7 linked regions of the Rattus norvegicus genome follow. The protein of the gene in region 6 purifies or fractionates together with the protein of the main gene of each other region. This does not show direct contact. Links are inferred from orthologs where the notes say so. Each region holds a gene or a part of one and is shown on either strand. Other genes may lie near its edges.

The links.
Region 1: the proteins of Eed (region 6) and Aebp2 purify together in Homo sapiens (affinity purification with mass spectrometry; 6 studies listed by BioGRID and IntAct, counting the BioPlex papers as one, with this or other methods). This does not show direct contact. The link is inferred for Rattus norvegicus from reciprocal best matches to the Homo sapiens genes EED and AEBP2.
Region 2: the proteins of Eed (region 6) and Phf1 purify together in Homo sapiens (affinity purification with mass spectrometry; 8 studies listed by BioGRID and IntAct, with this or other methods). This does not show direct contact. The link is inferred for Rattus norvegicus from reciprocal best matches to the Homo sapiens genes EED and PHF1.
Region 3: the proteins of Eed (region 6) and Ddx5 purify together in Homo sapiens (affinity purification with western blotting; 3 studies listed by BioGRID, with this or other methods). This does not show direct contact. The link is inferred for Rattus norvegicus from reciprocal best matches to the Homo sapiens genes EED and DDX5.
Region 4: the proteins of Eed (region 6) and Mtf2 purify together in Homo sapiens (affinity purification with mass spectrometry; 3 studies listed by BioGRID and IntAct, with this or other methods). This does not show direct contact. The link is inferred for Rattus norvegicus from reciprocal best matches to the Homo sapiens genes EED and MTF2.
Region 5: the proteins of Eed (region 6) and Hdac2 purify together in Homo sapiens (affinity purification with mass spectrometry; 5 studies listed by BioGRID and IntAct, with this or other methods). This does not show direct contact. The link is inferred for Rattus norvegicus from reciprocal best matches to the Homo sapiens genes EED and HDAC2.
Region 7: the proteins of Eed (region 6) and Phf19 purify together in Homo sapiens (affinity purification with mass spectrometry; 8 studies listed by BioGRID and IntAct, counting the BioPlex papers as one, with this or other methods). This does not show direct contact. The link is inferred for Rattus norvegicus from reciprocal best matches to the Homo sapiens genes EED and PHF19.

Annotation. Positions count from the first base shown.
Region 1 is NC_086022.1:175,258,349-175,262,343, reverse strand, and holds the start of Aebp2 (zinc finger protein AEBP2), read right to left. Parts: upstream 2,801-3,995; 5' UTR 2,619-2,800; coding exon 1,972-2,618; intron 1-1,971. UniProt on the Homo sapiens protein: Acts as an accessory subunit for the core Polycomb repressive complex 2 (PRC2), which mediates histone H3K27 (H3K27me3) trimethylation on chromatin leading to transcriptional repression of the affected target gene.
Region 2 is NC_086038.1:5,018,636-5,022,774, forward strand, and holds the start of Phf1 (PHD finger protein 1), read left to right. Parts: upstream 1-1,339; 5' UTR 1,340-1,541; intron 1,542-2,202; coding exon of another isoform or gene 2,203-2,223; coding exon 2,224-2,382; intron 2,383-2,464; coding exon 2,465-2,546; intron 2,547-2,642; coding exon 2,643-2,738; intron 2,739-3,090; coding exon 3,091-3,191; intron 3,192-3,282; coding exon 3,283-3,431; intron 3,432-3,572; coding exon 3,573-3,668; intron 3,669-3,796; coding exon 3,797-3,865; intron 3,866-3,952; coding exon 3,953-4,076; intron 4,077-4,139. Other genes in the region: kinesin-like protein KIFC1, read left to right, coding at 131-175. UniProt on the Homo sapiens protein: Polycomb group (PcG) that specifically binds histone H3 trimethylated at 'Lys-36' (H3K36me3) and recruits the PRC2 complex. Involved in DNA damage response and is recruited at double-strand breaks (DSBs).
Region 3 is NC_086028.1:92,229,129-92,233,354, reverse strand, and holds the start of Ddx5 (probable ATP-dependent RNA helicase DDX5), read left to right. Parts: upstream 1-1,426; 5' UTR 1,427-1,515; exon of another isoform or gene 1,516-1,526; intron 1,527-1,623; exon of another isoform or gene 1,624-1,764; intron 1,765-2,054; 5' UTR 2,055-2,195; coding exon 2,196-2,239; intron 2,240-3,386; coding exon 3,387-3,552; intron 3,553-3,928; coding exon 3,929-4,025; intron 4,026-4,115; coding exon 4,116-4,226. Other genes in the region: Cep95 (centrosomal protein of 95 kDa), read right to left, coding at 1,153-1,171. UniProt on the Homo sapiens protein: Involved in the alternative regulation of pre-mRNA splicing; its RNA helicase activity is necessary for increasing tau exon 10 inclusion and occurs in a RBM4-dependent manner. Binds to the tau pre-mRNA in the stem-loop region downstream of exon 10.
Region 4 is NC_086032.1:1,804,415-1,807,914, reverse strand, and holds part of Mtf2 (metal-response element-binding transcription factor 2), read left to right. Parts: intron 1-109; coding exon 110-210; intron 211-609; coding exon 610-758; intron 759-2,985; coding exon 2,986-3,081; intron 3,082-3,500. UniProt on the Homo sapiens protein: Polycomb group (PcG) protein that specifically binds histone H3 trimethylated at 'Lys-36' (H3K36me3) and recruits the PRC2 complex, thus enhancing PRC2 H3K27me3 methylation activity.
Region 5 is NC_086038.1:42,120,127-42,123,556, forward strand, and holds part of Hdac2 (histone deacetylase 2), read left to right. Parts: intron 1-1,673; coding exon 1,674-1,814; intron 1,815-2,068; coding exon 2,069-2,177; intron 2,178-2,849; coding exon 2,850-2,980; intron 2,981-3,218; coding exon 3,219-3,374; coding exon of another isoform or gene 3,375-3,430. UniProt on the Homo sapiens protein: Histone deacetylase that catalyzes the deacetylation of lysine residues on the N-terminal part of the core histones (H2A, H2B, H3 and H4).
Region 6 is NC_086019.1:153,290,501-153,294,000, reverse strand, and holds part of Eed (polycomb protein EED), read left to right. Parts: intron 1-229; coding exon 230-321; intron 322-3,319; coding exon 3,320-3,453; intron 3,454-3,500. UniProt on the Homo sapiens protein: Polycomb group (PcG) protein. Component of the PRC2/EED-EZH2 complex, which methylates 'Lys-9' and 'Lys-27' of histone H3, leading to transcriptional repression of the affected target gene.
Region 7 is NC_086021.1:38,583,855-38,587,354, reverse strand, and holds part of Phf19 (PHD finger protein 19), read left to right. Parts: intron 1-1,042; coding exon 1,043-1,138; intron 1,139-1,589; coding exon 1,590-1,690; intron 1,691-2,273; coding exon 2,274-2,422; intron 2,423-3,500.

The sequences.
Region 1 (3,995 bases), on a different chromosome or scaffold from region 6:
GCCCCCAAAATAGGCGGCCCCACAGGTTTCTTAAAGACATTACCCGGGTTGGGGATTTAGCTCAGTGGTTAGCTCAAGGCCCTGGGTTCAGTCCCCAGCTTCGGAAAAAAAAAAAAAAAGAAAAAAGAAAAAGAAAAAGAAAAAAAAAAGACATTACCTTCCCCAACCACACCTACAGGTTAGCACATTTCTCTAAGTTTTCCTAAGGAGCAGTCTGTTTTACACCCATTCAAGAACACTTCTTGTGGCAGATAGATGGTGGATCCTGCATTTGGGAGGCTGAGGATTTCTGTGAATACCAGACTAGCCTGGGCTACAAAGGGAAACCTTGTTGTACAGATGTTGGAGGAAAAAGAAAATGTATTTACTTATCTCAGTTTTAAAGTGTCAAAAGAATGCCTGAGGGTTTTTTTTTCCTCCAGATTGTTCATTTATCACTAGCTAATAACATATTCATCTTTTTTGGCAACCAGAATTCCTAAAGACCTCAGAATGCTTTAACTTAAGATCAAATCAAAATCCAGGGATGGTGGTGTGTGTGGACTCTATCCAGAGACTAAGGGAGGTAAAGTTGAATTCTCAATAAGGGCAACTGATTAGGCAGATGCACCCCACCCCCAAAAAAATACAACCCGAGGAGAGAAATCACTACTGGCTTATAAATTCTAATCATCAAAACACTAGCAGATGGTCAAAAGTAAACGCTAATGTACTTTAGGAACATATTAAGCCTGATTCTTTTTCAAAGTACATTGAAAATCAACTTCAATTATGAAATTTTACAAAGCAATCAAAAATTAGAGCAGCAACCAAAACATACTACATTTCTTAAATGTTCTAACTAGAACAAGCTCTAGAAAAGCCACAATTCCTCCAGACACCTCCCCCATACATGACTTTAAAAAAAAATCACCAAGGGGGATGTGACTCCCACATCAAAGTATCGCTGCACAATGCCGTTTTCATAAGTAAGCCACATCCTAATTGTTTAACCTTCATGGCTGTATCTTATGACTCCAATTCTTTCTGATTCTGCAAAGTTACTGTAAAGGACATCAATTCAAACTCACTGTTCTTTTCCACAATGTTTAAAACTTGGTCGCTCAGATTTGATGACCAAAACTCAAATCCCCTGAGATGATATAACTGATACATGTGAGGGGTTCGAGAAGCTGTGATTACACACAACAGACCAACAGTCCTTTTTGAAAGTAAAGCAAAGCCAGGCTTGGGGATGTCCTCCCAGCACAAGTTACTCCCGTGAGATCCAGGAGACCAGCCATATTGGAAAACACTTGTCAATTACAGTTCTGACAAGTGTTCCCGAACACCGATGCACGAAGCTACCGAGGTGTACACCAAGGGCTTCTGGGCCGCTTTGGGGGAGCTGTCTCCGGGATAGAGTCGTCCTTCGATCCGAAAGAACCGCGCGCGGAGGTAAGGAGGGTAGGGGAAAGGAGAGTTGAGGGGGATGGTGAGGAGTTGGAAGCCGCTCAGTGGCGAGAGAGGGGCGCGGCGGCCGCCCGGGATTTCCAAGTTGAGATCTGGGGGGGAGGGGCCGAGAACCAGGGAGCGGGAGATCACCGAGAGAAAGTCCCCCGGGTCTGGGGTCCGGGGTCCCAGAGTCGGGGGCAGGGGTGATGCTGGCGAAGACGTTTCTCAAGGCGAGCGGGCGGGCGGGCGGGGTTGGGAAGGGGAGGCAAGAAACGGAAAGGACCGCGGCGAGAAAGTCCCCTTGGTCCCCTTGGCGGTGGCCCGGACTCTACCCGGAGCAAGGAGATCGCTGCCAGGAGGTCCCCCCTGCTGGGCCACCAGTCCAGGAGGTGGGAGGGGATCGGGCAAGGAAGTCAACTCAAAGGGGTCCAAAGAGTCCCCTAGACAGGACCCAAGGGGAGTCCCCTGGAGTCAGGAAGGAGTCCCCTGAGTCCCCTCGACCGGGTCCGGGAAGAGTTCCCTTGGCGGCGCACTGACCTGTCCTCCGAGTCCATGCGGCTCAGCGGCTCCCCGTCCGACGACATCTCCAGGCTGCCCCGCCGGCCCCCGGAGGTCGCGCTGCTCCCGCCTCCCCCGGTGCCGTAACCCTCGTCGCCGCCGCTCGACACCACGCTACTGCTGCTACTACCGCCGCCGTTGCCCGGGCCGCCCGGGCCGCCCCGCGGTCCCTTGGGCTCCTCCAGGCCCTCCTTCCCGTCCCCATCGCCGCTGCTGCTGCTCGCCGCGCCCGGGCTCAGCGAGCGCGTCTCGTCGCCGCTGCAGCCGCCGCTGCTGCTGCCCACCAGGCTCTCGGCGCTGCTCTCCTCCTCAGCGCCGCCGCTGCTACTGCCCTCGTCCTCGTCGTCCTCGTCGTCCTCGTCCTCGTCCCCGCCCGCCTGGCTGGCGCTCTCGGGGCTAGGCTCCGACATGGTCTCCGCCTCGCCGCCCCCCGCGCCGCCGCCCGCTCCGCCGTTCAACAGCAGCGCGGCCACCGCCTCTGCCTCCGCCTCATCGTCCTCCTCCTCCTCCTCTTCCTCCGGCGGCTCGGCCCGGCCGCGCGCCGCGGGCCCGGGGCTGCCGGGGGACAGCGGGCTGAGGCGGGAGAGCTCCTCCAAGTCGGCCATGTCGGTGAGCGCGGCGGCCATGGCGGCGCCTGCTGCTCCTCCGCCTCCTCTCGCCGCCGCCGCCTCCTCTCGCGGCGCGCCGCCTCGCCCCCGCCTCCCCGCGCCCGCACGCCCCAAACTCCTCGCAGCCGCCGCAGAGCGGGAGGAGGGCCCGCGGGGCTGCGTCAGGCTGCACACGCGCTACGGAGCCCGCGCGGGGACACGCGCCGGAACGCGCGCACTCACGCGGACGAGGCAGCGCGCCTGCGCGGCGGCCCACGGCAGCCACTCCCCCGGCCAGCCTGGCCCCTCGGAGAGTTTCTCGGGGCCTTCCCACGCCTTCCCGCGCCCAGCGGAGGCGGGACGAGCCCTCGAAACCTGAAGTCACTGGGGATTTTCACAGCCCTGTACTTCTCTAGAGGAAAGCATCCGCTCAGAGTGTGTGTGGGAAGGTGTCCTGTAGAAGGAAGCCATAAGTGGAGCAAGAGTCTCACCTTCTGAGTGCTTACCGTACGCAAAGACAGGACACAAAAATGTGCAGAAAGTTAAATAGATTTTTTTTTTTTTGAGGCATAGAGCTGCCGTCCACACCGCGGAGGCATAGTCCTCACTCTCAGCCGGACCTGCTTACCTGTCCCGACGTTCCAACGACCCAAGGAGGGAAGCTCAGACGAAGAGGGCAGCGCTTTAGCTCAAGATCCTCGCAGTTTTTAGTCCTGGAGCTTCTAATAAAATCTGGGATGAAGCTGTAGGTAGGCTGAGTTCTCGGGGGTGTAGTGCTGGCTCTGCCGTTGAGCGATCTAACCGCTCTTCCAGAGGACCCGGCGCTCGGTTCCCAGCACCCACATGGCGGCTCACAACTGTCTAACTCCAGAAGCTCTGACCCTGGCCTCCCTCCCGGTCACGTGGGCGGTGCACACATGTACCTGACCTAAAATAGGCGTGCCTTTACGCCCAGCCCTCGGGTGGCCGAGGCAGGAGAGTCTCCGAGATCTCTAGGCTAGCCTGAGCTATAGAGAGAGTTCTAGGCAGGCCAGTGATAACGCAGTGAAACCCTGTCTCAAAAAGCGAAACTCGGGAGGGTGGGAAGAAAAGAAAGCCTGGAAGGAGAGATCAATACTCAAACTAGTGAAAGCTCCTCCCTATCCTCAGGCAAGAGTCCTTTCCTTTGTGGGGTTTACATTAAGGGAAGCATTGCATCTTCCAAAACTTTCAGTAAGGGAATGCCTTGTTAATAAGCTTTTGTAAAATAAAGACCTGGAGTTTATGTTCCTCCTAACTAGTAAGGAGCCCACATTACACTCTGACTCCCAAGCACAAGGCATATTCTCGCATACTCTCTCTCTCTCTCTCTCTCTCTCTCTCTCTCTCTCTCTCTCACACACACACACACACACGCGCGCGCACACACACACACAC
Region 2 (4,139 bases), on a different chromosome or scaffold from region 6:
TCAGGCCGAGCCTGCTGCCGTAGTCCTTATTTCAGGGAGTCAGACAGTGGGCCCAGCATTGGGGCAGAATGGGAGACTTCGGATTGTAAGCAGTGATCTCGTGTAACCCTATTCACTGGTCCATCCACAGGTGAACCAGTGCGTGATCGGCACTGCTCAGGCTAATAAGAAATGAAGATGGATGCAGAGCCTGGCTCCTGTGCAAGCGGGTGTGCGTGTCTGTTTTGTGTATATGTATAACACGGGGGTGGGGCGGGGCTGAGACATGATTTTATTGGGTGGACAACATTATGTACCCAACTATCAAATAAAGAAAATTTGGTGTAGGTTAATTTTTTTCTTAATCTTAGATTTAAAAAATTGTGTGTGTACAGTTGTTTAGCCTGAGTATATACATGTGCACCATGTGCATGTCTCCTGCTCCTTGAAGTTCAGAAGAGGCTTCGGGGCCTCTGGAACTGGAATTATGGACAGTTTTGACCATCGATGTGGGGTCTGATCAGTAAGTGCTCTTAACCACTGAGCCATCTTTCCAGACCCTGTTACAGCTCTTAATGGTTTTATTAATATTGGTAGCTGCCAGATGAAGTATTGTGAGTAAATACCGTAAGATGTAGAAATGTCCATTTTGACCTGTTTTGCAGAGTGAGGGAGGCTATGGGCTTTCACTTGGAGGGACACACTAACTTTGCTGCCTGCCCTGGTGCCTCTCCTCTGTCCTTCAGCTCAGGGAGTTGTGCCCATAGTGCCCACACCGGGCCCTCTGTGACCAACTAAATCTCTCACTTCCCCTGCCCACCGGTTCGAACCATGGTTCGGTCCGTGCCGCCTAGTGCCCATTGGCTGGTGTGGGCGCGTCACCGCCCCAGTACTAGTTCCAAGTAGCCTCTGGTCCTTTCCCTCCTAGAGGAGCACGGCCATGCCAGTGCTCGCCGCGGGAGGAGTGGCTGTGTGCCCAGGTGCGGCGCGCGGGCGGGGCTACGCGTGCGCAGAAGGGCGGGGCAACAGAAAGCGTGAATGAGGAGGGCGGTTCCGCGTGCGGAGGCGGAGCTTGGAGTGGCCACGGGGGCGGGGCAACTAACGGATGTGGCATGGGGCGGGGCCCGGCCCTGACCTGCAGGCTAGCTGCCAAGAAGGTTATTTCCTGCTGCCCTCAGAGCAAGCCTCCTATCCGAAAAGGGGGCTACAGGGATTTCCTCGTCCTCCCCGACCGGCCGCGCCTCCAATAGCGCAGCGCCCTCCGGGCCTACTGGAGGTGAGGGAGGTGCTGCCTACCCGCCCCTCCGTCGTCTCCTCCCACTGGTGCTCCCCACCCTCCACTCTCCTCCCTCCTTCTGTCGACTCCTCCTGCCGCTGCTGCTGCTTTGGCTGCTGCGTCATACGCCCCAGAGCGGCCAGGACGGAGGGGCTGGGCCCGGGGACCCCCCTGGCCTCCACCTGCACGCCCCTCGGCGCTCACACTCAGTCTTCCCGCACCGGGGACTCACCCAGATCTCTTGGGTCTGCCCCTACCTGGCTTCCAGCTGCCCCAGCTGTCACCGGTAAGGAGAAGGCGGGAGGCCCGGAGGGGGGGGGGCAGGGAACCGGGGGTCGGTGCGCAGGAAGGGCTGGGGGAGCCTCCTGGTCCCAGTTTGGGATCTGTGCTGGGGCGACTCAAGTCCCTCCGTGGACTGGCAGTGTAGGGGAGTAGAGACTTGGACAGGGACACGCCCCCCTCCTGGGGCACTCAGGGAAGTTATCTAATCCCAGGTCAAGGAGCCCCAAATTTGAGGGTGACCTAACATAACCTGGCACCAGGATGGTGGCTCTAAATAAGACACACAAGCCTGGGGAGGCAGCTGTTTCTACTCCTTTAACGTCTTTAGAAAAGCTCCCAAAACATCTCCGGGCAACAGATTGCCCCAGTTAGGCTACCTCTACACAGCTGGGAAAGGTGAAACTAAGTGGTAACCTTGATTCTGCAAACATCTTTTCCACCGGAGGTCCGGAGGAGCTGGGATACTACGGAGCTAGGCAGGGGAGATGGAAAGGAGTGGAGTAGAGAAGCTGACCAGAACGACCTGCCTCCTCGGGGTTCTAAAGGATTACGAGACTGGGGTTGGAGATTCCTGGTCAGGGTCAGGGTTTCTTCATCCGTAACAGAAAACAACCCACACAGGGACACTTTCTCAGCGCTCATAAACTCTAACCATCCTGTTTCAGAATAGCCCACCCCAGGATGCAATGGCGCAGCTCCCCCGGCTGAGCCGTTTGGGTGCTCCCTCTCTTTGGGACCCAGCCTCCCCTGCTCCCACCTCAGGCCCCAGACCTCGGCTTTGGGAAGGTCAAGATGTGCTGGCAAGATGGACTGATGGGCTCCTGTACTTGGGCACCATCAAAAAGGTGAGGCCCACCTCTGATCCCCTGCCTTCCCAGGCCGGTCTGATTCCTGCCCCCACTTTACGGTCTTGGTCATCCACTCCAGGTGGACAGTGCGCGGGAGGTGTGTCTGGTCCAGTTTGAGGATGATTCCCAGTTTCTAGTTCTATGGAAGGACATCAGCCCAGGTGAGACCCTTCAAAGCACAGCTTCCCTCTGCAGCAGCTGGAGCCGATGGGGACGCTGGGTTGAAGTGGGCCTCCTGACACTTTGTTCTCTCACAGCCGCCCTTCCTGGTGAGGAGCTCCTCTGTTGTGTGTGTCGCTCTGAGACCGTGGTCCCTGGGAACCGGCTGGTCAGCTGTGAGAAGTGTCGCCATGGTGAGAGGGCGGGATGTTTAGGGGGTGCAGTTTGCCCTGGGTCTTCTGGGTTACCACTAGAAGGGTTACCCTCCCTCATAGCGTGAGTCACGCACGTCTCCTGCCTGGGCCAGTCCTCACCCTGTCACCTCATCTCAGTACAGGGAGAGGGAGCGTGGATGCAGGTGACAAGGCTGAGGGCCTACCGTAGCTCGCTCACATTTCTTAACCAAGCTTCCTTGGGCAAGGTCCTCAACTGCTAGAAGCCCGTTGACTCAACTTGAGTGTCAGGATGAGACCTGCCAGCGGGACCGGTCTTAAATGCCCTGGTCAGGACTTAAAGGCCACTCTGTGGCCTTCTCTCCTCATTCAGCCTATCACCAGGACTGTCACGTCCCCAGGGCCCCAGCCCCTGGAGAAGGAGAGGGCAGCTCCTGGGTCTGCCGCCAGTGTGTCTTTGCGATTGCCACAAAGGTAAAGGCACCTCTCTGCCTGCTTGTGTGGGAGCCTCCCGTGACCTCTCCTCCTTCCCTGCCCTCTGAGGCTTCCCTCTGTTCCTCTGCAGAGGGGAGGTGCCCTGAAGAAGGGTCCCTATGCCCGGGCCATGCTGGGCATGAAACTCTCCCTGCCGTACGGTCTGAAAGGGCTGGACTGGGACGCCGGACATCTGAGCAACAGGCAGCAGAGCTACTGTTACTGCGGGGGCCCGGGGGAGTAAGTGAAGGAAGAGCAGGGCCAGCCACGGCATGGGTGTTTTGTGGTGGTAGAGCCCAGGACAGAGGGGAGCGAAGAGGGTGAGGGGGGGCCCTGTGGTTTGAAGAAGGCTGAGGGCCATGGCGCTGTCTTCCCCTTGAGGTGGAACCTGAAAATGCTGCAATGCCGGAGCTGCCTCCAGTGGTTCCATGAGGCCTGCACCCAGTGTCTGAGCAAGCCCCTCCTTTACGGAGACAGGTGAGATCCAGGGAGACTGCACAGGAGCCTGGGGTGCTCTCTCTCCCGCGCTCCCGACTGACTAGTTAGCCCTCTGCAGCTCGTACTGGAGGGTTGAGTGAGGTCCCTCTGTCCTGACCCATATACAGATTCTATGAATTTGAATGCTGTGTGTGCCGGGGCGGCCCTGAGAAAGTACGGAGGTTACAGCTTCGCTGGTGAGAAGGATGGTGCTCTCCGCCATTTTACTCTATGACTCCTGACTCCATAATGCTGCTGCTGTTGACAATCTCATGCTCCTCCAGGGTGGATGTGGCCCATCTTGTTCTCTACCATCTCAGCGTTTGCTGTAAGAAGAAATATTTCGATTTTGACCGAGAGATCCTCCCCTTCACCTCTGAGAATTGGGACAGTCTGCTCCTGGGGGAGGTAAGGGTTCTAAAGTTTGAGAACTGGGGTTTTTGGAACAAGGAATGCGTGCTCCCTGGGACC
Region 3 (4,226 bases), on a different chromosome or scaffold from region 6:
CCAACTTTTATTCTTGCAACCTACAATCCTATTTACCGGTATTTTTATACTCACATGGGTGTTTTTAGTTACAATAAATTTATAGGTAACCAGGAATATCGTAAGACAGCTGTAAATGAAAACCTAAAAACTGCTAGAAATTAATGGAGGTAGCTCTGAATTCCCAGTAGTTTTTAGACATGTTTTTACCCAATTATCTTGTATAAGTAAGATCTCTCGGGTGCCCAAACAAGTGATTAATTTAGGCTGTTAGGAATTTGAATAATGACAACACCGACACTAATGCATTTGTTAGTTTTCTTTTTTATTATATTTGATGTGTACGAAGGTAAAAATGAAAGAAAAAAAAAGCCAAATCGCTAAGCTCTAAACTAGCACATTAATAATCCTAATCAAGCTCCCCGTTGTTCTTTTCCAAAAACAGCTCGTGCCCTCCCCCAGATAGTACAGGACTAACGATTAAGGGTTTCAGCAATAATTCCGAAAGCTTGAAACGCCTGTATCCTGAAATGACTGGATATTAGAAAGCACTTTAGAATTGGTCACATTTCCAGTACAGTCAGACATTCTGGAGACAGTAGTCTGAATGTGTCATGCCCATTTTGCCCTCCTTCCAATGCCCAATGCGCACAGCTGACCAAGCCATGACAACCATTTTGTATTGTCTTGGAAAGGACGAGGAAAGCGTCCTAGACAACCGAGTCAATTGGCTTTTTAAAGGCTGTACTAGACAAAGCCAGTTACTGTAGAGGGCATCAAAAGATCTTATGAGTGCTATGCCTCAAAAGGAAAAAATATATATAGATAGGTTCAACCTTAGTCCAAACAAACCAAAGGGGAAGGAGAGACAGTCTGTGGCTAGATACCCCACAGAAACTCGGATCCAAGAAGGATCCTGACTGCTCTGTAAAAACAGGATGAGGGTATCCCAGCCTTGTCAATGAGCTCCTGTCTCATCCCAAGTCTCAATTCCACGCCTGGAAAACACATGAGGTCTCGAGGGTGAGACCCTAAATTTAGAGATTCCCTGCGACTGCAACTAGTGTCCAACCATCACGAGCCTCTCCAGCAGCCCAGACATGGCTCAGATTCAGCCCGAGGCCTGCGGAATGCTGCAGTACAAAAACACTAGGGCTCCAGGCCGAGACTCACCAGCCTCTGAGCTGGCCATACTGCCAAGTGAGGTCGCGGCCAGACTCCAAGACGAGAGCGCGGGCGACGGTGTCCTGGAAGGGTCGAACCCGGTAGAACCGAAGGGAGTAGGAGGGGGTAGAAACCAGAGAGCGGGGAAGGAGGGGTAGAAAAGGGAGGGACGTTAAAACGGCTTCTCGCCGCTGATTGGTCAGAAGAGAAGCACTTCCTTTCGCAGCACGCGCTTAGGCGGCAGTTTGCGGGCTCCAGATACCATTCCCCGCGGACAAGATCCCGCTTAAGGGCTCTCAGATCGGCGTGCAGGGCAGCCAGGTCACCCAGCAGCCCGGCCGATCTCCTGGGGGCGTTAGAGCCGCGCTTCCGGTGAGTTTGTGGTTTTGTATTCCTCCGCCGAAGGCAAGCGAGAAAGTAGTGCGATACGCCTTGCCCAGGGTACAATCACGTGACAACGCCAAGCTCCGCCTCCCCCGTCTTCTTTGGTTATGGGCGTGGGGGAGTCTGTGAAGACGTAAACATCTTCAAGTAGAGACAGTAGGATGGCTGGTGCTGGCCATTTTAATGACTGGTTGGCCACGGGGAAGAAGCTTGTTTGACATGTAGCAAGGCGAGAAGGTGGTGTAGCCAAAAGGGTGTGGGACGGGGCATTCTAGTGGTGTCACCCAGTCGAGAAGCGAGTAATAAACGGGCGCCTATGAGGGAGCGCCCGCGGGGGGGAGGGGCGAGAACATGGCGGATTCCGGAACGCCAGCGGGCGTTGAGGCCTTGGAGCCAGGGGGCGGGGTGATTAGGTCATAGAGCGGCTCCCAGCATCCTTTGCGACGAGGAGGCGGTCCAGACTATAAAACCGGCTGCCCGGACGCAGCCGGCACCTCATTCATTTCCATCGGTCCTTGGGTTTACAGCTCCGGCCCTCGTCACCGCCGTCCCTCCGCTGGTGACGCCCCCGCAAAGGCTTCGCCGTCGCCGAGGCCTCCTTTCAGCGACTCGTCGCAACTGGATTCTCTTTCACTGGGTTCCTCCAGCACACCGCAACCATTGACGCCATGTCGAGTTATTCTAGTGACCGAGACCGCGGCCGGGATCGAGGGTGAGTATAACAAGGGACCTGTCAGGGCGGGTGGGGGATGGGAGAGCGGCGCGGCAGAAGCTCGGCTTTCCAACCGACCTTTAGATTTTTTTTTCTGGTAGGAGGCCTTGCGTTTCTCTGACATCCGGCTAAAAAGCCGTTAAAGGCGACGCTTCTGGTAACTGGGTTCAACCTTGGTTTTTGTTTGGGAGGACGGCGGCCTGGGCGACCTCGCGGCTGTTGTGGGAAGCCCGGAGGTGTTTTAGATAGGGAAGCGCCTCGCCTTAGAGTCGGCTCAAGGCGTCGTTTGCGCAGCCTTTCGCTGGGGGTTTTAGGGGGGCCCCCGGGGTCCCCAGAGAATACAAGGGGCGCTTTCGAGGCCGTCTGTGCCCGGTAGGGTGGCCTACGCCAGCGGATTCAGCCATGTGGCTGAGCCGCAGCCACAAAATGCCGGCCTCGGACATGGCGGCGGCGCCTTTGTTACCCCGCCCGGCGGAGGAGCTCAAAATGGCAGCGTCGAGAAAATGTGGCGCAGAGAGAAATGCGAGACAAAGAAGGAAGCGCCGCCCCAGCGGGAACGCCGCCCGGGCCGGGACTCCTCCCCCGGTTGCCGTCGACTCCTCCTCTTTTTCTCCCTCGCGTTATATAATTTTGTTACCTTGATTTGCAGCCGTTCGCGGCGTTTCCTAAAACAAGGCTCCCTGGCGCGTGTGCCCCTTTCTACCCTGCCCGCGGTACCGTCCTCCCATAGCCACTCACGTTGCCTGCGCAGTCCCGTTATTTCTTTAAGATCAGGCCCTTTGATGAAAACAGTGGCAAAAATAACCTTCTTAAGCTCCTCCCTTCTTGTCCAGCTCCTAGACACTTAATTCCTAAGCTCTGTGGGGAGAGAAGAGGGAGCCTCTAGCTGTTGTCCTTGTAATCTGAACTTCAGACGTTTGGGCAGTTTGGGACCTGATAGATCCCACGCTGTTTATTTGGCCTCATTAGAGTGTACTTGGGACTTCAGAAAAGAAACGCTGCCAGTTGTGGCTGTCCGTAGAATGACAGTTGGGAAGGATTCCAGAGGCACACTTTGGCTCGGATCAAGAGACATTAAATGAAATGTGGAGACAAACCTGTTCATGTAGAAGTCTGTTCACAATGTACCTAACTTTTTTTTTTGTAGGTTTGGTGCACCTCGATTTGGAGGGAGTAGAACAGGACCCCTATCTGGAAAGAAGTTTGGAAATCCTGGGGAGAAACTAGTTAAAAAGAAGTGGAATCTTGATGAGCTGCCCAAATTTGAGAAGAATTTTTATCAGGAACACCCTGATTTGGCAAGGCGCACCGCAGTGAGTATTTAAATGTGGCTTCATCGTGCTATAACTCAGTAGTAACTACTTCTGATCAATTAGATGGAAACTTAGCAGGTGCCTTGCAGATTATTTGGAGAATTACTTGTCTGACTTCCCATTGAATTTTCTCTTGTGTATTGGCCAGGTGTAATGGCCATATGTTAATCTCTGGGGAAACATCACTGGGGAAACAGGCTTGTCAGCCTATTTGGGCTTCATAGACACTTTTTTTTTTTAATGTGTATTGTGATTTTTACTGCTAAGTAGAGTTCCATTTATGGGTCCAGATAGTTAGAAATGAGTGTAACTGAGCTGTAGGGAACTTGTCGGTGTATCTGGCCTAGGTCTGAGACCAAGATCATTTGTTTTTCAGCAAGAGGTAGATACGTACAGAAGAAGCAAGGAAATTACAGTCAGAGGTCACAACTGTCCAAAACCTGTTCTGAATTTTTATGAAGCAAACTTTCCTGGTAAGGAATAAATTTTATCTTTAACCCTTTACGTTTTTTCCCTCTTTTTTTGCCTATAAGTTTTTGTTAAAATGGTATTGTTGGTTGCAGCAAATGTCATGGATGTGATTGCAAGGCAGAACTTCACTGAACCCACTGCTATCCAAGCTCAGGGCTGGCCAGTTGCTCTCAGTGGATTGGATATGGTTGGAGTAGCTCAGA
Region 4 (3,500 bases), on a different chromosome or scaffold from region 6:
CTTATAATGTAGGGAACAACAAAACTAAAAGTAAAATGTCTTCTTGAAAGCATGTTCTGCAGTACTTGATAATAAAATAGAACTTGCTTTCTGCTTTTTTGATATTAAGGATATCATCAGCTGTGTCATACGCCTCATATTGACTCGAGTGTGATCGATTCAGATGAAAAGTGGCTTTGTCGACAGTGCGTTTTTGCAACAACAACAAAGGTATCTTCTAACTGTTTTAGGCTAAACATTACTAAATGTAATTTCTAAGGACTTACCATTGAAATGACTGTGTACATTGAAGAGCTTGTTCTCAGTGAAATTAGCAGCTAATGTTGGTTAGTAGAATTGTTTTATTAATGATCCTTAAATGGCTCGTAGTTTATTTGTATGTGTTCGTGCTTTCTGATAGTGGTGTGGGGATTAGGGCAATAAATTGAAAGAATACAATAAAATAAATACATTATTAGTAGCAGATCAGACAATATGGTGTCATAGAAATTCAGAATGGAAATTATTTCAGAAGTGTCAAGCATTTTTAAACTATAGAATTAAAAATTAGAAAATTTGGCTAAAAAACTTGACCTTCACTTTTTCAAATGTTTTTCTTTTAATATGTAGAGGGGTGGTGCACTTAAGAAAGGACCAAATGCCAAAGCACTGCAAGTCATGAAGCAGACATTACCCTATAGCGTGGCTGACCTTGAATGGGATGCAGGTCATAAAACCAACGTTCAGCAGTGCTACTGCTACTGTGGAGGCCCTGGAGAGTAAGTAACAGTTACGTCACGTCCTCTGATGTGATTTATACTAATGCACAGTATCTTTTCTCTTTGTAAAAATGTTTTTTATGAAGACCCCGTTTTGTGTGAATCGTAGTCTCGCTCTATGTGTACCACTTAACTGGCCTCAGGTGCTTGAGGCCAAGCTTTCCAAGAGCACTAGGGCTGTGGGTGCTTGGTTTGTCTTCTCATCACTGATGGTGGCAGTGATAGGGAATTGCAAATGGATAAAACAATTGGTTAAGGGCTGGAGAGATGGCTCAGCGGTTAAGAGCACCAATTGTTCTTCCAGAGGTCCTGAGTTCAATTCCCAGCAACCACATGGTGGCTCACAACCATCTGTAATAGAATCTGATGCCCTCTTCTGTTGTGTCTGAAAACATCTACAGTGTACTCTTACATAAAGTAAATAAATCTTTTAAAGAAATGTTCATAAACAGAAATCTCTATGGCCATTTGGCATTTGGGCTAAACACTGGTACCTTTTAATCTATCTTTCGTAGGATACAGAGAAGTGATGTAAAAAAGCATAATAAACTACAGCAAAAAAGTTTCAGGGGCAGAGGAAAGATGGCTCCAGGGGTTGATAGCTCTTCTAGAGGATCTTAGGTGTGTTCTCAGCAACCATATTGGTGACTCACAACCAACTGCAACTCTGGGTCCAGGGATCCTCACCCTTTTCTGGGCATTTACACTCAACATGAATGTATCCACACACAGGCACACAAATTTATGGGGGAGGTGTAGAAGGGTGGGCTTGGTGATTAAGAGTACATGCTGCTCTTCAGAGGACCTGTGTTCATTCCTAGCACATGATGCACATAGAGAGAAGCACTGCACGCACACGATGCACATAGAGAAGAGCACTGCACGCACACGATGCACAGAGAGGAGCACTGCATGCACGCGATGCTCATAGAGAGGAGCACTGCACGTGCGTGATGCACATAGAGAGAAGCAGGCTCCCACATATACACATATTTTAAAAAATTTTTTTAATTGCCAGCTTGGACCTAGGCGTGGTGGTACATATCTAGTTGTAGTTTACTCAGGAGGTGAAGAAGGGTGATCGCTTCATCCTAAGACAGTAGTTCTCAACCTTCCTAATGCAGCAACCCTTTAATACACTTACTTCCTCGTGTTGTGGTGACCCCCGCCCCATCATAAAAGTATTTTCATTACTAAGTTTGCTAATGTTATAAATTATAATACAAATTTCTGTGTTTTTCCATAGTCTTAGATGACTTCTGTGAAAGGGTCATTTGATCTTAAAGGGCTTCTAACTCACAGGTTGAGAACTCTTGGCTAGCTAGGAGTTTAGGGTTCACTTGTGTATCAGTAAGAACCCAAGCTGAAAAAAGATCTTTTTAAACAGTTGGTGGCTATGGTTGTTATCAAGCATTGAAAGACAACCTCAAAATGAGACTCAAAACATTTCAAAGAGGCCCGAGGATGTAGCTGAGCTGTAAGAGTGCCTGTCTAGCAGGCCATGAACTGGATGAAGTAGTGATTAATCTCAGTACAAGGAAGTGGGAGGACCCTAGTTTTGAGGTCATTTTCACTTTGAGGCTAGCCTGTAATATGTGAGACCATGTTTCAAAAAAAAAAAAAATCAGAAATAAAAACAACAAGCAAAATAAAAAGTGCTATATGGGTGTGTAGTTCATTGGTAAAGTGTGTAGAACAACCTGGATTAGACCTCACTACAAAAAGCAAACCCCCTGAATCTTGTGATTTGAGAGAGATCAAAGATACTAATTAACCTTAAAGAGCATATAGATTTCCATGATAGGAGAGGAAGGATGAAATAATTGATACTAACCTTTTTGGGAACAATTAATACTAATATTAGTATTTATAGCAGAAACAGTGCTTTTATCAGAACTGTATTAGTTATATTTTCTTTAAAAGAATTCTTGCTTTATCAGTAAGTAGTAATTTAGCTTAATAATAGTGCCATACACTTATAATCCTAGCACTGGGGAGGCCAGGGGAGTTATGAGTTGGAGACCAGTCTTGAACTACAGTGAAGTATTGTTTTATAAAGAATTAATTTCAGGGGTTGGGGATTTAGTTTAGGGGTAGAGCACTTGCCTAGGAAGCGCAAGGCCCTGGGTTCGGTCCCCAGCTCCGAAAAAAAGAACCAAAAAAAAAAAAAATTAATTAATTTCATTTCCTCTTCCTTTTTTTTTTTTTTTTTTTTTTTTTGTGATAGCTGGTATTTAAAGATGCTGCAGTGCTGCAAATGTAAGCAGTGGTTTCATGAGGCTTGTGTCCAATGCCTTCAAAAGCCAATGCTGTTTGGAGATAGGTAAGAAGAGCATTTGAATTTTAATGATTAACCAGTCAGCTGCTCTGTAATTGTGGTTATTTTGCAGTTTCAGATTTCCAAAAATAACTTTGACAGTGATGTGTTAAAGGGGTCAGTTTAGACTGACAACACTGAATAGTAAACATGCTTTATATGTATTTTCTATGCTTTGGAATATTATCAGAAAGCTTTTAAGTATTGTCTCCATGGTTATATTTGTTCTATGACTACAGTTCTCAAAACTGTTCTCATTGATTCCTGCCAGTCGCGAAGCTCAAAGGAACACTGCAATGAGAATTGAAAGACCATAGGATCTTATTAAAACAAATTGTATAATAAATTTGAAAACTTGTAAAAGCAGACACCATGTACTTTCTATGCCAGAATATTAGGATAGGACAGTGAGCTCTAGGAAGAAA
Region 5 (3,430 bases), on a different chromosome or scaffold from region 6:
AGTTCCTCCCCTCAGAGCCGAAGACCGTGCTCTGCCAGTGAGCTGTGCCCGGTGTGTACTGTCAGGTGATAACTGACAGTTTCTAATGTACCTCTGTGACTGACTTCAGCCGCATTCTCTCAGGCCTCGTGAAGGAAGTGAGGCGGTCAGCTGCTGTCCACCTCACTTCTCAGTTATTTCTTCTTATGCTGTTATTATTTCTTAATTATTTCCATGCTTCCTCTTACAGGCCCTCTAGCCTTCATTTCATAAATCCCCCCCTTTTTGCCTGCTGTTGGGTGGTTGAACGCTGGTCTTGTCTGCTCTCTTTCCTTGTAGTCTGTAAGTTAACTTCTGTCCTTAGAAATGTCCAGTAACACTGTTTTAGTAGATGATGTCTGGTTGATAACATGAAGAAAACAGATAATTAGACACTGTAAACTCTCATTAGGTAATGGGGTTTTTTTTTCTCTTGTGCAATTTTAATTTTTTCCAAATATTTTAAGCTTTGTTATAAAAATGTTAGAAAAACAAAACAAGCAACAGAACCTCACACTGAAATTAACTGGACCCAAAGATTCAATGGCTTCTATGCTTGTGGCAGCCAGCATCTCAATACCAAGTGAAAGCCTGCTGCAAAGGGACTTTTTTATTTTAATTAAGGCTAAAATCCATGAAGAGAATGTGGGGGGGGGGTGGGGAATGGATGAATTTCTGCTGTCAGCATTGAGGGACTTTGTTTTTTGTTTTTTTTTTTTTTTTTTTTTTTTTTTTTTTTTTTTTTTTTTTTTTTTTTTGGTTCTTTTTTTCGGAGCTGGGGACCGAACCCAGGGCCTTGCGCTTCCTAGGTAAGCGCTCTACCACTGAGCTAAATCCCCAGCCCCTTTTTTTTTTTTAAGAATTATTTATTTATTTCATGTATGTGAATACACTGTAGCTGTCTTCAGACACACCAGAAGAGGGCATCAGATCTCACTACAGATGGTTGTGAGCCACCATGTGGTTGCTGGGAATTGAACTCAGAACCTCTGGGAGAGCAGTCAGTGCTCTAACCACTGAGCCATCTCTCCAGCCCCTGAGGGACTGTAATGATGGCATTGTGTGCCTGAATGATAATACCACCAGAAGTTACTGGTAACTCAAAACTTGTTCCTATGTGAGGTTTGTAATTAAGTAAATTAAGAAAATTATCCATAATACCAGCACCTAAAGATAGTCAGTGGTCAAACTTTTTGGTATTGCCTTCCGTAGTTAAGCTACACATGTCATATAGGAGAAACAAAATTTAGCATCTGTGTAGTGTCTTCTCTCCCTTACCCTTATGTGACCTCTCATGAGCATCCTGTGTTGCTAGTAAAATACATGTGTGTGTGTTTTAATACTTAACACGAGTTATTTGTTGGATACAGTCCCTGTCATCACCCCTGTCATTGTCTCCCCCATCCCCCACCTTGGGGTGAGGTGGCCTGCCCTGTAGTCATGCTGTATGGTCTAGCCTGGCCTCCAGATTCTGCGCCACTTACCTTACCTTAGCTTCCCAAGAGCTGGGACTGTTGGGATGGGCCACTCTGCCTGGCTGTCTACAGACCCTTTTTTTTGGTTGAGTAAAATTGTTTGTAATTATCCTTTTTAAGGTCCTATTTTAAATTGCTAAAGAATATATTTCAATGTTACCCAAATCTTCTTCGTCGTAGGTCACGCTAAATGTGTAGAAGTAGTGAAAACTTTTAACTTGCCGTTGCTGATGCTTGGCGGAGGTGGCTACACAATCCGGAATGTTGCTCGATGTTGGACGTATGAGACTGCAGTTGCCCTTGATTGTGAAATTCCCAATGGTAGGTGTTCAGGTTGCAGTATCTAGAAGAACATGCAGTGTGTGGAAATGGATGAATGGGAGGGTCTGCAGCCACACCCCTGGAATGTATGATCTCCTCTGACGGCTGAATGGTTAGAGTGCGAATCTGTGAGAACATTCCATGCTCACTCTCAAGCTTCCTTTGGGAATAGTTCTTTTACCTGGATTATGATTCTGAGTTTATTTGGAAACTAAGCTTTCAATGTGTAACTTGCTTTTCATTGTTTTTAATAGAGTTGCCATATAATGATTACTTCGAGTATTTTGGACCAGACTTCAAACTGCATATTAGTCCCTCAAACATGACAAACCAGAACACTCCAGAATATATGGAAAAGATAAAGTAAGAAATCATTTCGCCTTAATGAAGTTTCAGGAGGCTATAGAAGGTCAAATAAAGGAAACTTTTAGATACATGAGATATTCTCTTTGTTTTAATATGATTTGAAACCTTAAGGATATTTGTGGTTTTAATCTAAAATAATAACACAAATATGTAACCTTTGTAAATAGAAACTTTTTTTTTAAGATTATTTATTTATTATATATAAGTACACTGTATCTGTCTTCAGACACACCAGAAGAGGGCATCAGATCTCTTTACAGATGGTTGTGAGCCACCATGTGGTTGCTGGGAATTGAACTCAGGACCTCAGGAAGAGCAGTCAGTGCTCTTAGCCACTGAGCCATCTCTCCAGCCCAATAGAAACATTTTTATTAGATCAAGTGCTTTCTGTCTACAGAATGTAGAAATGGTGAGCGGAATGGGCTGTGTCTTCTCGCCCGTAGACAGTTGTAGGACATGGACAAGTGCTCTTGTTGCCTCATCCGTCAGATGGGGTGAAGTGAAGCATAGCTGTGTGCTGTGGGGTCAGCCGTGTGTGCAGTGATCGATGCTCCACTAGTGTCCCATTCCGCGGTTAGCTAAATGGGAACTTGTTTTTGTTTAGTTCCTCCTCTGTCTAACAGGAACTTTGCATACAGTGGATTTTGTCTAATAAATTGTGTCGTTTAGACAGCGTTTATTTGAAAATCTGCGAATGTTACCACATGCGCCTGGTGTTCAAATGCAAGCTATTCCAGAAGATGCTGTTCATGAAGACAGTGGTGATGAGGATGGAGAAGACCCTGACAAGAGAATTTCTAGTAAGAAACTCCTTCACAGCACATGTTGTGATTCTCCTTTTCTCCATTTAATAACGTGAGATTTAGCTTCCTGATGTCTCAAAGCCTGAATTAATATCACCCTTCATTTTGTGTGACTACACAAACATGGCTGCATCCAGAAAGTAGGCACTTGATATCTATCAATATCTATCTACCTTATGTAATGATTGTAGAACCTCTGGCTATTACCAAATTAATAAAAATGTTTGTGTCCCAGTTCGAGCATCAGACAAGCGGATAGCTTGTGATGAAGAGTTCTCAGATTCTGAGGATGAAGGTGAAGGAGGTCGTAGGAATGTCGCTGATCATAAGAAGGGAGCCAAAAAAGCCAGGATTGAGGAAGACAAGAAGGAGGCGGAGGACAAGAGGACAGGTCCGTCTGTGCTGGTGACGCTCCTTTTCACTGCTTACGGGTGCACTGTATCTTTA
Region 6 (3,500 bases):
ATTCATTTATGTGTTTGTTTTTGAGGCAGTCTCAGTGTGTAGCTTGGAACTTACTTAACATTAATAATTTTTACATGTGATGTATTTTAAGTTGTTATATATCATGAATGATATTCTTAGTTTCATTGTACATAATCTAAATTTTCATGGCTTTTACATATAAACTTTACTGAAAGTTTGCAGTAGATGAGTGATAAAAATTTATCTTAACTTTCTGTGTTTACATTAGATCATGCTTTACGATTATGGAATATCCAAACAGACACTCTTGTGGCAATATTCGGAGGTGTGGAAGGGCACAGAGATGAAGTGCTGAGTGCTGTAAGTTGAATCTGGGGTAATGACCTTTGGTTTACATAGAGTGAATGTTTCCCATTGAACTTTTCTCTTCATAGGCAAGCATGTCTCCTCATGCAGCCTAGCCTGGCAGGCAGTCATTTCATCCATTCAACATAAAGATGTTGAACTACACACAAAGGGGTAGAGCAAGTGGGCCTCTGTCAGTTTCAGTCTTTCAAAATGACTCGGATGAGTGGAAGAATATGTCAGTCATTCTCTTTGTAGATTTGGTGGTGGGGGTGGTGGTGGTGGTGGTGGGGTGGTGGTCTAGGTCTAGACCCAACTTTTTTCTTTTTAATTCAGAGTCACCAATTGAATTTTCCTTGTTCTTATTATTAAAGAACAAGTTTTTCTAATTATCCATAAGTTTTGTTTGAAGTAGAAATAAGTGGTTGACTTTGAGGAATTCTTCTGATGTGATTACCCTATATTTTCCAGTGCCTCTTCCCTGGGTAGTAAGCAAGACCAACAGTTTATGGCTTAAAAAAAATGTTGTTTGTGCTTTGGAAACAAGGTTTCACTGTAGGCCTGCTGGCCTGGGACTTGCTGTGTAGACCAGATTGACATCTGACTCACACATAGCCTGCCTCTGCTTCCCGAGTGATGAGAACAGAGCCTGGGCCACTCGTTCTGCCTGCCCTCCCTCCCTCCCACTTCTTTCTTACATGTCTTTATTGTGTATATATGTATGACTAGGTAGATGTACACTTGCCAAAAAAAACTTGCCATTTTGTGATCACAGGACAGCTTGCTGGAGTCTCTTTTCTGTTTCTGCCAGGGAAAAAACCAAACTTTGGTCTTTATTTAGGCTTGGTAACAGGCCCCTTAATGGGGAGCCATCTCACTGTCCTGATAATGGTAGAGATAATCCTGTACTGTCTTTTTGCTGATACATTGTAATCAGGGACCTGTCAGCTTTAGGCCATGTTCAAGTTTTTAACATTGTGGCCTTTGCCTGGTAACTCATTTGATTGATTGATTGATTTTAATTTTTTTTAGTTTTGTTTCTCTTCAGTGTTTTTCCTAATTTAACTTCTTAAAGCTGAATCACTTTGAACCATATATGGAGGTGCCAAAATGTTGCATTCGTTGAGAATCAAGGCTACCTAATGCTACTGTATCAGCTTGCATAGTTCTAGAAGTCCTGGTATCATTCTACACCAGGCTTTGTATGGAATCAAGCAAGAGAAGTCTGACTCAGAGGGGCTGGAGCGATGGCTCAGCAGTTAAGAGCTCTGGCTGCTCTTCCAGAGGACCTGGGTTCAGTACTCCAGTTGCAGAGCATTGGTGTCCTCCTCTGTCCTCAATGGGCTCTGCTCACATGTGGTACAGACACACATGCAAAACACCAATAAACAGAAATGAATGAATCTTTAAGAATTTTTTTTAAAGCTAACACAGAGCCATAGATTCTTAAGGATATTTTGTTGTTGATAATGAAGTGATTAGAAATAGTAGCAAGTAGATTGATGAAATCAGTAAACACCAAAGCTAATGTTTTGGTAAAATGGTTTCAGGTTGAGTCGCTGCAGAATACCTAGGTTGTAAGATACCCTCCTGGCTAGAACTGTCTACCCTTGCACCTGTGCTCTTCCTGTCTGAGACAGGGTCTCTCCAAAACGCTGTTGCCCTGGAATACCCTCTGTAGGCCAGGCTGGCCTCAGACTCACAGAAATCCACCTGCCTCTGCCTCCAGGGTGCTAAGGTTAAAGGTGTGCACCACTGTGCCGGATATTGTGGCTTACTGAGACTTAAATCTTCAGCAGGAGAGACTCCATCCCTTTTGTCTATGAAAAGGGAGAAAGTATGTGAGCATTTTGTGAACTCTTTGAGTGCTTGGTACTCAATTAAGAGCATATCTGGACTGTGTTCACCTGCGAAATGACATTGTAATTACATAATATTTGTTATGCATTAGAAATTAGTAAGCATTATAAAATGGTATTTTATACTTGTAATCCCATGGGATGCTGATATAAGAGGATTCTGAGTTCAAGGCCAGTCAAAAAAGAAAAACTAAAATCCTCTTAGACTTTTACTCATTTAAAAAGTGAACCCTAAAAACAATATAGACTTGAATGTTTTGAAATAAAGTACATGGGAGTGGGCAGCACTGATGGCATGGCCTCACAGGTACAGGTCCTTGCTGTACAATCTGGAGCCTTACGTGCAGTCCCTGGAGGAAGTAGAGAGTGAGTCTGGCCAGTTGTCCTCCAACCTCTGAGCATGGGTGCCACCTTCCCCAAACACATACAACAAATATATTTTTTTGTTTAATTTGTTGCTTTTTTAAATGTGATATTTTATTATATATCTTGCTTATATTCACCCCTATCCTCAGCTTCTCTCACAGCCTTCCCTACCTTTCTCTCTTCCTCCCTCCCTTTCTTCCTCTCCACACCCAGTCCAGTTTGCGTTAGCTAGTCATGGGGCCTGCCCTGAAGTGAGGTAAATGTGCCCGGAGTCACGCCACTCAAAACCTGACTCCTCTCCCAGAAGCAGTCAGATGCCAGCTCCTCCATTAGGAGAGGGCCTTCATGTCCTCCTCCTCATCTCTGTGCTGAGATTTAGTCAAGTACATTTAGTGAATGTAATTTTAAGTGGTACAAGAAAACGTATGATCTAACAGTTGAAGGACTCGTGTCTTTTATAAATTGGAGTTGGACAAGAAAAGTAATATATAACTGTGTAGCTTTTCTGTGTCAAAATGATTATTTCAACATCTGATTACCTTTAAATTTAAGGAAGCTATTTAAATATAGTTGTATAAATAAACTTCTATTTTGTACTCTAGTGATGACAGATTAAAATTTTGAACAGAATATGTCTGTGACTTGTGCTGTGCTGAGGTGACGCCCGGAATGTGCTTAGTATTCCGGATTGAAATGTCGTGCTCATGGTACTGGGCACCAGGTGAAAACTGGAAAGGAGCGTTTGAGGCTATAAATTACTTATTTGCACTTTTCTGCTTTATTCCTAGGATTATGATCTTTTGGGTGAAAAAATAATGTCCTGTGGTATGGATCACTCTCTTAAACTGTGGAGAATCAACTCAAAGAGAATGATGAATGCGATTAAGGAATCTTACGATTATAACCCAAACAAAACTAACAGGTGACAGTTAGGCCGTGTGTATTGAGTAGATGTGCTATCCTTCTCCA
Region 7 (3,500 bases), on a different chromosome or scaffold from region 6:
GAACCGGATGTGGCAGAAGAGCTAAGACTTATCGGAGCAATGGCTGTGTGTTTGAATCCCACTCTCATACTTATCAGCTAAGCAAGGGCCTTAGCTTCCCGAGCCTCAGTTTCCCCGTCTTTGGAGCAGGTGTTAGCAGACATCTCCGGAAGCCTGGGAAGATTCGGCGAGGCAGCTCGTGGGATGGATAGTGAAGCTCAAAGCACAGCAGTTCAGTTCCTGCTCTGTGGTTTTTATTATGATGGCTTTAACAACGAAAGTCCCTGACAGTTTTATAGATCTCCATTCTGGCTACACACTCCTCAACCCTCCCCGATCCTCCCTTCCCACCCTCCTCTTCCCTCCTCCCTACCTGCCCCTTTCCCAGGTGCTCGATTTTTGGTTTTGTTGTGTGACCCAAAGTGATCGCACAATCGGGGACATCTGTGTGGCCGTTGGGTTGGGACGACTTACTGAAGTCCAGCAGAATCATCAGTGGGTATACAGCTGAAGGAAGGAACTCTCCATCCCCCCCCCCCAGAATGTATCAAAATAATTGTTCAGCAGTGAGGGACAGGCCCCCTGTGTCCCTGCTGTCGATGTCTGGTATGGATGGGTCCATCCTTGTGCAGACCCTGTGTCATCTACAGTTGTTAAGAGTTCATTACAGGGGCCACACTCAACAGATGGCATGCCAAGCCCTTTTTTCTGCCTTTCAGCTCTTCCGTTCTTTCTGGCCCCTCTTCAACAATGTCCCATGAGGGTACGTTGTGGATGTCTTGTTTAGAGCTGAGCTTCAACCGTCCCTCATTCTCAGCATTTTATACAGCTGCTTCTGCACTCCGCAGTTCACAGGAGACAGACGCATCTCCGGTTAAGGCTGAATGGGTATAACATATATTTAGACTCTGTGTCAATGTAGCTGAGCCGCAGAACTAAGTTTCCCAGTAGGGGCCCTATGAGCTCCTCACCGGATCCAAGTACGGATTCCTTCTCGGCAGATGATTTTGACGATTTCTTGGTGGTGTGAGCTGGACCTGAGTTGAGGGGACTTCTTTTTCAGCTGGTGTTCCAGGAGAGGAGCCCAAGTGTGATGTCTGCATGGGGAAGACTTCAGGACCGATGAACGAGATCCTCATCTGTGGGAAGTGTGGCCTGGGTGAGTGGGTGAATAGCACACTGTGAAAGGCCCTGCCTTGTGGGCCCCTCCCACTCGGCGGGCCCCTCCCACTCGGTGGGCCCCTCCCATTTTGTGGGCCCTCACCGCACTTGCTGAGGTCCCAGCTAGCTTCCTATCTATCCTATTCCTTCTATCCCTGACATGTCTCCTCCTGCTTTGGGGAAAGGTGACCAAAAGCAATGGGAAATGTAGTTTGTGACCCTCCTAGGCAGAGAGACAGGTGCTGAAGCTCATTCTTGGTGCCTCTTACAGTGGCCAGTACCTTCTTTTTGTGCCTCGCTGGCTGGGTACCACCAGCCAGTACCCTGAAAGCTGGCAGGCAGAGTTCCCTAGGGCTTGCCATAGCTCGACTAGCCTCGCTGCCTTTGGCCAACTGGCCTTGGGCCACTGCTCCCTTGTGACTGATTCACCATCCCCTCCTTTGCCCCAGGTTACCACCAACAGTGCCACATCCCCATAGCAGTCGATGCCAACTGGCCCCTCCTCACTCACTGGTTCTGCCGACGCTGCATTTTCGCACTGGCTGTGAGGGTGAGCATCTCCCAACCCCTTTCCCCAGCCCTTGCCCTCCTGTCTTCCAACTGGGCAGACCAGAGCCCCACGAGACTCAGGCCTGAGACGACATCGCTGATGCTGTTCTCTAGGCAGAAGGGCTCCACTTGGACTTTGGAGACACAGGGTGCTGTCTTAGGCTAGATCTCAGAACCTCTCTAAACCTCAAGTGTTCCCAACCATAAAATGGACCCAGTTTTGTGTCAGTAGGAGGCCCCTAACAAAGGGCCGTTTGCTATTAAAAGACAACGTTATTATGTACCTCCCCCTTACACGTGGTATTTTTTTTTACTTCTTTTTTTAAAAAGCTCTTAAGATAAATATATATTCTTTCACAGATTGTGTGTGTGTATGTGTGTGTGTGTGTGTGTTGTCCTTTTTACAACTAATGCTATCAATGAATATCACTAAAGGAAACAGGATGGGTTTAGGATTGGTGAGAAAAAGCTCGTTTTTCTGATGTTCATAAAATGTCTGGGTCTCCCCGAACCCTGGCAGCATTTCTCCTGATAGCTGTGTGCTGACAGGTGTAGTTGTTGACCTGGGTCCTATCTCCCCCTAGAAAGGCGGTGCGCTGAAGAAAGGCGCCATCGCCAAGACGCTGCAGGCAGTGAAAATGGTGCTGTCCTACCAGCCTGAGGAGCTCGATTGGGATTCGCCCCATCGCACCAACCAGCAGCAATGCTACTGCTACTGCGGCGGGCCTGGAGAGTAAGGCACCAGAGCGGGACACGTGTTGACTGCTGGGCGGGACTGACAGGCTCCCAGGGAACCCCATCTCGGGGGCGGGGCCTGAGTGACAGCCTGAAGGGCGGGGTGAGGCTTGACTGGCAGGCTCTGGAGGCGGGACCTGCGCCCTCCGAGTGACAGCTTGGGGGCGGGGCCTGAGCATCAGACTCTGGAGGGGCTGACCCAGAGTGACAGCTGGGCTGAGGGATATGAGTGTCTGGCGGCGGGACCTGGAGGGGCGAACCTGGAACCATGGGGCGGGGCCTTCGTGTCACGCTGTAGAGGTGGACCAAGAGAGACTTGACAGGGGGCGGGGTCTGTTAGGTTATGAAGGCGGGATCTAGAGGGGCGGACCCAGAGTGACAGCAGCGGGGCGGGGCCTCAGTGTCAGGCCTTGGAGGCGTGTCTTGGATGGGCAAATCCAGAGTGCTCACTGGGGGCTAGGTCTAGGGTAGACGGGCCTAAAGTGACAGTCGCGAGGGCGGGGCCTAGGTGTCAGGCCACGGAAGCGGGATCTGGAGGGGCGGATCCTCGATGTCATTTTAGGGAGGGCAGATTGTTTAATGTTTAATTTTAATGTCGCTTTGCAGGAGGGAAACCCAGAGTAGTCTTTGGGGAAACCAAGCTTTGAGGGGCGGGCCCAGGGGGTAGGATGGCTGTCATAAGGCAGGTCTGGACCAATGGGAGCCAGGAGAGTTACCTAGGGATCTTAAAGGAAGGGTGCTGAAAGTAAGCTCAGAGTGAGAACCTGTGCAGGTGCAATGGAGAGTAGAAGGCAGAGTGCTTTTCTTGGAGTCACGTGAGAAAGGAGGAAGTAATGAAACAGCTAAAAAGCCTAGGCCTGACAGATGACCATAACCTGGCACAGCACTTTGCCAGCTCTGCCTCCCCTGGTTCACAGTTCACTTACTAGTTTTTCCTTTGTGTGGCTGTGAGCATCAGTAACTATATAAAAGCTCACATGGGCTGGGAATTGGTAATCAGCTGGTGGTGGTAGAAGAGATTCTTGTCTTGCTGTGGGGCCAGAATCTGCTCTAGCTTGCCAACCTGGGCCTCCGAG